2 linked regions of the Cricetulus griseus genome follow. The protein of the gene in region 2 purifies or fractionates together with the protein of the main gene of each other region. This does not show direct contact. Links are inferred from orthologs where the notes say so. Each region holds a gene or a part of one and is shown on either strand. Other genes may lie near its edges. The genes, in order: Katnbl1 and Katna1.

Region 1 (3,822 bases), on a different chromosome or scaffold from region 2:
CACCTTTTTATTACTGCTTGAAGCCAGTTTAAGCCAACTATTACATATCTGAAATAAAATATTTTGACAGTATTTGTTTTCATATAACAAGCCTTTAGACAAGATGATACACCTCCCCCACGAACACGCCTCCACATATACACACCCTATCTCCCCCTTAAGAAAAATGTATTTCATTTTTTGTTTGTTTTTTGAGGCAGGGTTTCTCTGTAACTTTGGAGTCTGTCCTGAAACTCTCTATAGACCATGCTGGCCTCAAACTCAGAGATCCACCTGCCTCTGCTTCCCAAGTGCTGGGATTAAAGGCATGCCACCACCCCAGTCCATACGTCATTACTTTTATAATCTTCCTCATAAAACCAGAGAACACACACAGCTATTCGTAGAATCTTTGCAACTATCATTTATTGTTTACATTTCTTTCCTAATCATACTATAAACTCCTTGGGAATAGAAAAAATAGGGATGGAGAGAGGGCTCAGTGGGTGAAGGCACCTGACACCAAACCTGACAGCCCAGTTATCTCAGGAATTCATATAGTAGAAGACAGAATCAACTCCTACAAGTTGTTATGATTTCCTCTGTCACAATAAATAAAATGTAGTTCAGATTTTTTAAATTAAAAAACCAGATATCATATATATGCCATGGAGACCAGTTTCCTACCATGTACTCACAAAACAAAAATTCAAGAACGTTGGAAGGGAAAAGGGGAGATTTAGATTAGTACTTACTCTTCAAATTTGCTTTGAAGTAAAGACTTTACTAGAGGCAGTAAGTCTACACAGCAGCCAAGTGAGATATACTGCTTTTCTTCCTGTAAACTAAAAGAAATTCTAAGTTATAAAATATGAACTGATTATAATTTTTCTTTAAAGCTTACTTTTTTTTCTGAAAAAATACTGTTTTTACCTATTGGTTAGAACAGGAAGGCAATCTACCACAACTCCAAGGTCTTCTATCCTGCGAGTACAAGACAGACACCATTGCTTAGAGAGCCGAGGTCCTTTCTTACATTCATATTACAATTTGTATCCTCCTTTGGAGGCATTCAATATTTAAAAAATAACTTCAGTATTTATCACTGAAGTGATAAAGTACTGAAGATATAAAGGGGAAAGCAGACAGGGCTTGTTTTCCAGTGCCTGAGTGGTTGCAGGAGGTGGCAGTGGATCAAAGAAAGACAAACAAGTAAAAACGCATAGAGCTGGATGCTAATGGTAAATGCTACAGAGGATGAGAAAAGAAGAAGACAGATAAAAAAGAATGAATTACATCTTTTCAAAGACAGTACTCAATGAGTCATCAATTAGGCATCAGTAAGGGAGTATTTGAGAGACTTAAATAAAATGAGGAGGTGACACTTAAAATTCCCAAAGGTTTTTTGTTTTTTTTTAATGGCAAATTTCCCACTTAGTTTTACAGATAAGAATCGCAATTAGAAAAGGTAACAGCTTTGTTCAATCTGATAAGACAATTTTCTGTATCTTCATTACACTTAAATTGGTGATGAATGTAATTTAAGCTATACTGACTCTCTGAATGCTAAATACAATGGTTTAAATGTTTAACCAATAGAAACTTCTTAAAAGAGTCACTTCTCATATATCATTAAGAATTATTCATGTTAAATAAAGATCAAAAAGTCACACTCACCTCACTAAATAAGCTACAAGTTCACTTATACTTCTCTTTCTCCAGAAAGTCAAAGCTACATTCAATCTCAAATTCCTGCTGAACAGAACTTGGGCCATTGTCTCGTGGTCCTGAGAAACCTGAAAGGCAATCATCTAATGCATTAAAACCACAATGAAACATGACACAGACTTTTTTTTTTTTTTTAATGAAAACAGTCTGGTAGACACAGCTTTAAATTATACAAAGCCAACTCCTTATACTGGCCCACATAAAGGAATATTACAGTTTGCAGTTCAATACCGCAAATGAACGACGTGAACAAGACCTTTTCTCTCTCCCCCTTGTTACCAATTTTCAAAAATTCATTTAATTTATACAGTTAAATTATTTCTAGCTAACCCATAAACCCAAGACTTAATTTCCTGCATGTGAATGCAGGAAAAGGTAAGCATGTAGGCCAGTAATTATCAAATGAGCAGCAAGGGGAAGAAGCACAAACCTGAGTTCTGTCCTGTTACAAATGTACCATCTAAATGTATTTTTAAACAAGGTAATACATGGTATGAAAACTTAGCTCAAAACTATTAAAGACAAAAAGTGAATACTCCACTGGCCAAAGTCTCTGACATCATTCTCCAGAAACAATTACAACTACTAACCTGGAATGTGTCTTCCAAATCATGCTTTAGACAATGGCAAAAAAGTTAAAAATTATATTTTTAAAAACCTTTCTTACTGACTGTGTCCTTTGCCTTACAGAAGCTTCTCAGTTTCAGGAGGTCCTATTTATCAATTGTTGATCTCAGTGTCTGTGCTACTGGTGTAATGTTCAGGAAGTAGTCTCCTGTACCAATTAATTCAAGGGTTTTTCCCACTTTGTCTTCTAATAGGTTCAGTGTGGCTCTGGGTTTATGTTGAGGTCTTTGATCCATTTTGAATTAAGTTTTGTGCATGGTGATAAGCTTGGGTCTATCTGCAGTCTTCTTCATGTCCGCATCCAATTATGCCAGCACCATTTGTTGAAGATATCAGCAAGACAAAACGGCAGCCCACAGACTGGGAAAAGATATTCACCAACCCCACATCTGACAGAGGGCTGATCTCCAAAATATACAAAGAACTCAAGAAGCTAGTCTCCAAAACACCAAACAATCCAATTAAAAAGTGGGGTACAGAACTAAATAGACAATTCTCAATAGAGGAATCTAAAATGGCTGAAAGACACATAAGAAAGTGTTCAACATCCTTAGCCATCAGGGAAATGCAAATCAAAACAACTCTGAGATACCATCTTACTCCTGTCAGAATGGCTAAAATCAAAAACACCAATGACAGTTTATGCTGGAGAGGATGTGGAGAAAGGGGAACACTTCTCCACTGCTGGTGGGAATGCCAACTTGTACAGCCACTTTGGAAATCAGTATGGCGATTCCTCAAGAAAATGGGAATGAGTCTACCACAAGATCCAGCAATTCCACTCCTAGGCATATACCCAAAAGAAGCACATTCATATAACAAGGACATCTGTTCAACCATGTTCACAGCAGCACTATTTATAATAGCCAGAAACTGGAAGCAGCCTAGATGCCCCTCAACTGAAGAATGGATAGAGAAAAATGTGGTACATTTACACAATGGAGTACTACTAAGTGGGAAAAGAACAATGAAATCTTGAAATTTGCAGGAAAATATATGGAACTAGAAGAAACCATTCTGAGCAAGGTAACCCAGTCACAAAAAGACAAATATCCCGGGTGTTAGTGGTGCATGCCTTTAATCCCAGCACTCGGGAGGCAGAGGCAGACGGATCTCTGTGAGTTCGAGACCAGCCTGGTCTACAAGAGCTAGTTCCAGGACAGCCTCCAAAGCCACAGAGAAACCCTGTCTCGAAAAACCGAAACAAACAAACAAACAAACAAAAAACCCCAAATATGATATGTACTCACTCATATGTGGATTTTAGACATAGAGTAAAGGATTACCAGCCTATAATCCATACTGCCAGAGAAGCTAGTAAACAAGGAGGACCCTAAGAGAGACATACATGGTCCCCTGGAGAAGGGGAAAGGGTCAAGATCCCCTGAGCAAATTGAGAGCACGGGAAGAGGGGGGAGGGAGCTATGAGAATGAGAAGGGAAGAAGAGGAAGGATGCAGAGGTCATGAGGGAGCAGAAAGGTTGAGTC
Region 2 (3,822 bases):
GGCCATATGGGTGCTGGGAATTGAGCGTAAACTTCTGGAAGAGAAGTCAGTGCTCTTAACTGTAGAGTGTTTTCTCCAGCCTCCTCAAAACAAAATGGTTTTTTTGTTTGTTTGTTTGTTTTTGTTTTCAAGAATGGGTTTTTCTGTATAATAGCTCTAGCTGTCCTGGAATTCATTCTATAGACCAGACTGGCCTTGATCTTGACAGAGATTTGCCTGCCTCTGCCTCCCCAATGCTGGGATTATATAGGTATGTGCCATCAATGCCAGGCCAGAACTGAAAATTTAATTTAATTTTTACTTAAGTTAAATCTAAGTGGATACACATCTACTTATTTATAATTTCTTGGTATGTATGTATGTATGAAGTGATTTACTGATAGTCATTGTCTGACTTCTGAGTACAGAGTCCCATATATATCCCTTTATTCTTTCTATTTACAATTATAAACATTTCCTCTATATTAATTTAGAACTACATCAGATTGTTGTAATTTTTGCTTTTGCTAGCCAATGTTATTTAGAAAACTCATAGGGAAATAAAGTCTGTCATATTTACATAGTTCCATGTTTTGTTTCCTGACTTGCCCGTGTTTCAGGGTTGATAAAATTCTGTTTCTTATCTCAAGTTTTTTTTTTTTTTTTTGGAGGGCGGTGTTGGTTTGGTTTGGTTTGAATTTGTGAGGTGGTCTTATAGTCCTCTTGTCTCTAATTCTCAAGTGCTGGGGTTCTAGGCATGTGTTCCCATCCCCCCCTCTGAGAATGCCTTGAAATCCTCTTCATTTCTGAAGGCTATTACACTGGAAGGATCTTGAGTTTTCTTTGTGCACTTGGGAAATACCGCATCACTTTCTTCTGGCCTCTTTGGTTTCTTGGAAAAATCCACATTGATTAGGATTGGTTTTCCTTGTCCAGGTGTGGTGGTAATACCAATCATTTGGGAGGCAAGAGGGTCAGAAGTTTGACTTGTGTTAGGTTTGTACCAGGAGATCATTCAGTAAACAAAATCACTTTGGTCTGATCATTGTTTATGACTCACAGAAACAAAATACAGAATTTCAGTCAATTAAGAGCTCTTCCTTTTTTATCTCCTCATGTAGAACAAATCACCTGCTGCAGTTACAGAACAAGAGGCAAATAAATTTGACAGCACTGGATATGACAAGGACTTAGTAGAAGCTTTGGAAAGAGATATAATTTCTCAGAATCCCAATGTTCGTTGGTAAGTCACATCACAAGATAATTGATAGTTTTGGAAACAGAAAATAGACAAAATATGGGCATGTGCTAAAATCTGTCTTTGAAGACAGAGCTAGAGGATATGCAGTGTAAGTGGGACATACAGTAAAAACTGAGTCACCACTGAGGCTGTACCAGTATGTTGTCCTGAGATTTTTATTTTTGTTTGTTGTGAGACAGGACTCCCTGTAGAGCTGACTGGCTTCAAAATGGCTATGGTAGCCAGCATGGCACTGAATTTCGTCCTCCTACCTGAACACTGAGATGACAGACACACATCACCATGACCAATTTATATGGTGATGTTGAGGACTCCGGGGCTTGTGCTTGCTATTATTTTTTGCATTTTTAAAGTTTATTATTTTATATGGATGGGTGTTTTGCTTGCATGCCATGTGTACAGTGCCTTTGGAAGACAGAAGAAGGAGTCATATCCCTTGGAACTGGAGGTATAGATGCTGTGGCAGCTGAGAATCAAACCTGGCACTCTGTGAGAGCAGCCAGTTGCTCTTCCCCACTGAGCCATTTCTCCAGCCTCTCTTCGTTTTTGGTGTATAAGGTGTTAAACACAGGGTCTCATACATATATGAGGCAAGCTGTCTCCCAACTGAATATCCCCAGTCCCTTGAGGTTTTTTGTTTTTTGGGACAGGGTTTCTCTGTGTAACAGTCCTGGCTATCCTGGAACTCACTCTGTAGACCAGACTGGCCTTGAACTCATTGAGGTCCACCTGCCTCTGCTTCCTGAGTGCTGGGATTAAAGGTGTGTACCACCACTGCCAAGCATGATTCTTTTAAATTGACAAGTCAAATACAAAGTGGGACTAAGCACACAGTTTCATCTTTTGGGCCCCCTTCTAATGTTGAGAAGATTGATGTTTTGTTTTTTGTTGTTTGTTTTAAACTTAATGTCCCGAAGTGGTGGGTCACACCTTTATTTTCAGCACTTGGGAGGCAGAGGCAGGTGGATCTCTTGAGTTGGAGGCCAGCCTGGTCTACAGAATGAGTTTTAGGATAGCCAGGACTGCACAAAGAAACCCTGTCTAAAAACAAATAAACAAACAAAAGCTATTTTTATTGTGTATGTATGATGGGGTGGAGCATGTGCTGTGGCACAAATTGGAGGTCAGAGGACAACTGTGTGGACTCTGTTCTCTCTCCCATATTTCTGTGGGATCTGAGGGGACAGGTCCTCAGTGTTGTTCAGTAACCACTCTTACATACTGAACCAGCTTGCCAGCCCTGGGTGGAGGTTTCTGTGCACACATCTTGTTTATGTCTATAGCTTATGGTAAATGTTGCTTTTATTTGCTTTTAGTGCAACATTCTCAACTTTATATCTAATAAAGGATATGTACCCTTTTTCAGCATGCTGTAAGGGTTCACTTTTCTACAAGTTGGTTATATTTTGTTACATACTTTTAATTAAAATATGGATGGTTAATAGGTATTTTTATAATATTTAAAGTTTCTAGTAATTGATATTTATACAGTAAAATCTATTTTCATAGTAAAATTGCTACATACACTAGTAGTACTGGTATGTATTCTAGTGGCTGGGGAGAACTTCATAATGAAGTTCATCTTTTAACGTTGGTGTCTGCATCTTAGAATTGGAAGCTTAACAGCTGTATCTACTGTGTGCCCTGTTTATTCTTTTTATAGTGGCCATTCTTCTAAGCCATTAGAGTTATGGGATATAATATAAGATGCTGTCAATGATGATTCAGGTTCAGCATCCCTAACCCCTAATCTGAAAAATCAGAAATCCAAAAATGCACCAAGATCCAAATTTTTTAAAATTTATTTTTATGTGAGTTGGTGTTTTGCCTGCATGTATGTGTGGTGGTGTCAGATCCCCTGGAACTGGAGTAACAGACACTTGTTAGCTGCCGTGTGTGTGTGTGTGTGTGTGTGTGTGTGTGTGTGTGTGTGTGTGGTGTGTGTGTGTGTGTGTGTGTGTGTGTGTGCTGGGAATTGAACCCAGGTCTTCTGGAAGAACAGCTAGTATTCTTAACTGCTGAGTCATCTCTCCAGCGCCCTCAAGTTTTTTTTGTTTTGTTTTGTTTTCAAGACAGGGTTTCTCTGTATAGCCCTGGCTATCATGGAATTAGCTCTGTAGACCACCTGCCTCTGCCTCCTGAGTGTGCTCCACCATTGCCTGGTTATTGAATATATATAATTTTTTTTTAAGATTTTATTTATTTATTATGTATACAACATTCTGCTTCCATGTATATCTGCACACCAGGAGAGGGCACCAGATCTCATAACGGATGGTTGTGGGAATTGAATTCAGGACCTCTGGAAGAGCAGCCAGTGCTCTTAACCTCTGAGCCATCTCTACAGCCCAATTGAATATATTTTCAAGTGTAGAGCTAAACCACTTTATTCTGTGGGAAGAAGCTTCCTCCTAAGTGCTGGATTGCATCATTTTTTTTTTTCCAGCCTAGGGTGTTGAGCCACATTTTTAAGCAAGTAAATACTTTATTCTTAGAAAATTTGGAGAGTTTTAGATGAAATTAATCTGAACAGTTTTGGATTAGAGAATGCTGAAGTGGGAAGGTGTATGCAAACGTTTATG

What was found.
Region 1: the proteins of Katna1 (region 2) and Katnbl1 purify together in Homo sapiens (affinity purification with mass spectrometry; 3 studies listed by BioGRID and IntAct, counting the BioPlex papers as one, with this or other methods). This does not show direct contact. The link is inferred for Cricetulus griseus from reciprocal best matches to the Homo sapiens genes KATNA1 and KATNBL1.

The regions. Positions count from the first base shown.
Region 1 is NC_048599.1:65,946,359-65,950,180, forward strand, and holds part of Katnbl1 (KATNB1-like protein 1), read right to left. Parts: intron 1,776-3,822; coding exon 1,657-1,775; intron 964-1,656; coding exon 913-963; intron 825-912; coding exon 735-824; intron 49-734; coding exon 1-48.
Region 2 is NC_048595.1:280,357,681-280,361,502, reverse strand, and holds part of Katna1 (katanin p60 ATPase-containing subunit A1), read left to right. Parts: intron 1-1,100; coding exon 1,101-1,222; intron 1,223-3,822. UniProt on the Homo sapiens protein: Catalytic subunit of a complex which severs microtubules in an ATP-dependent manner. Microtubule severing may promote rapid reorganization of cellular microtubule arrays and the release of microtubules from the centrosome following nucleation.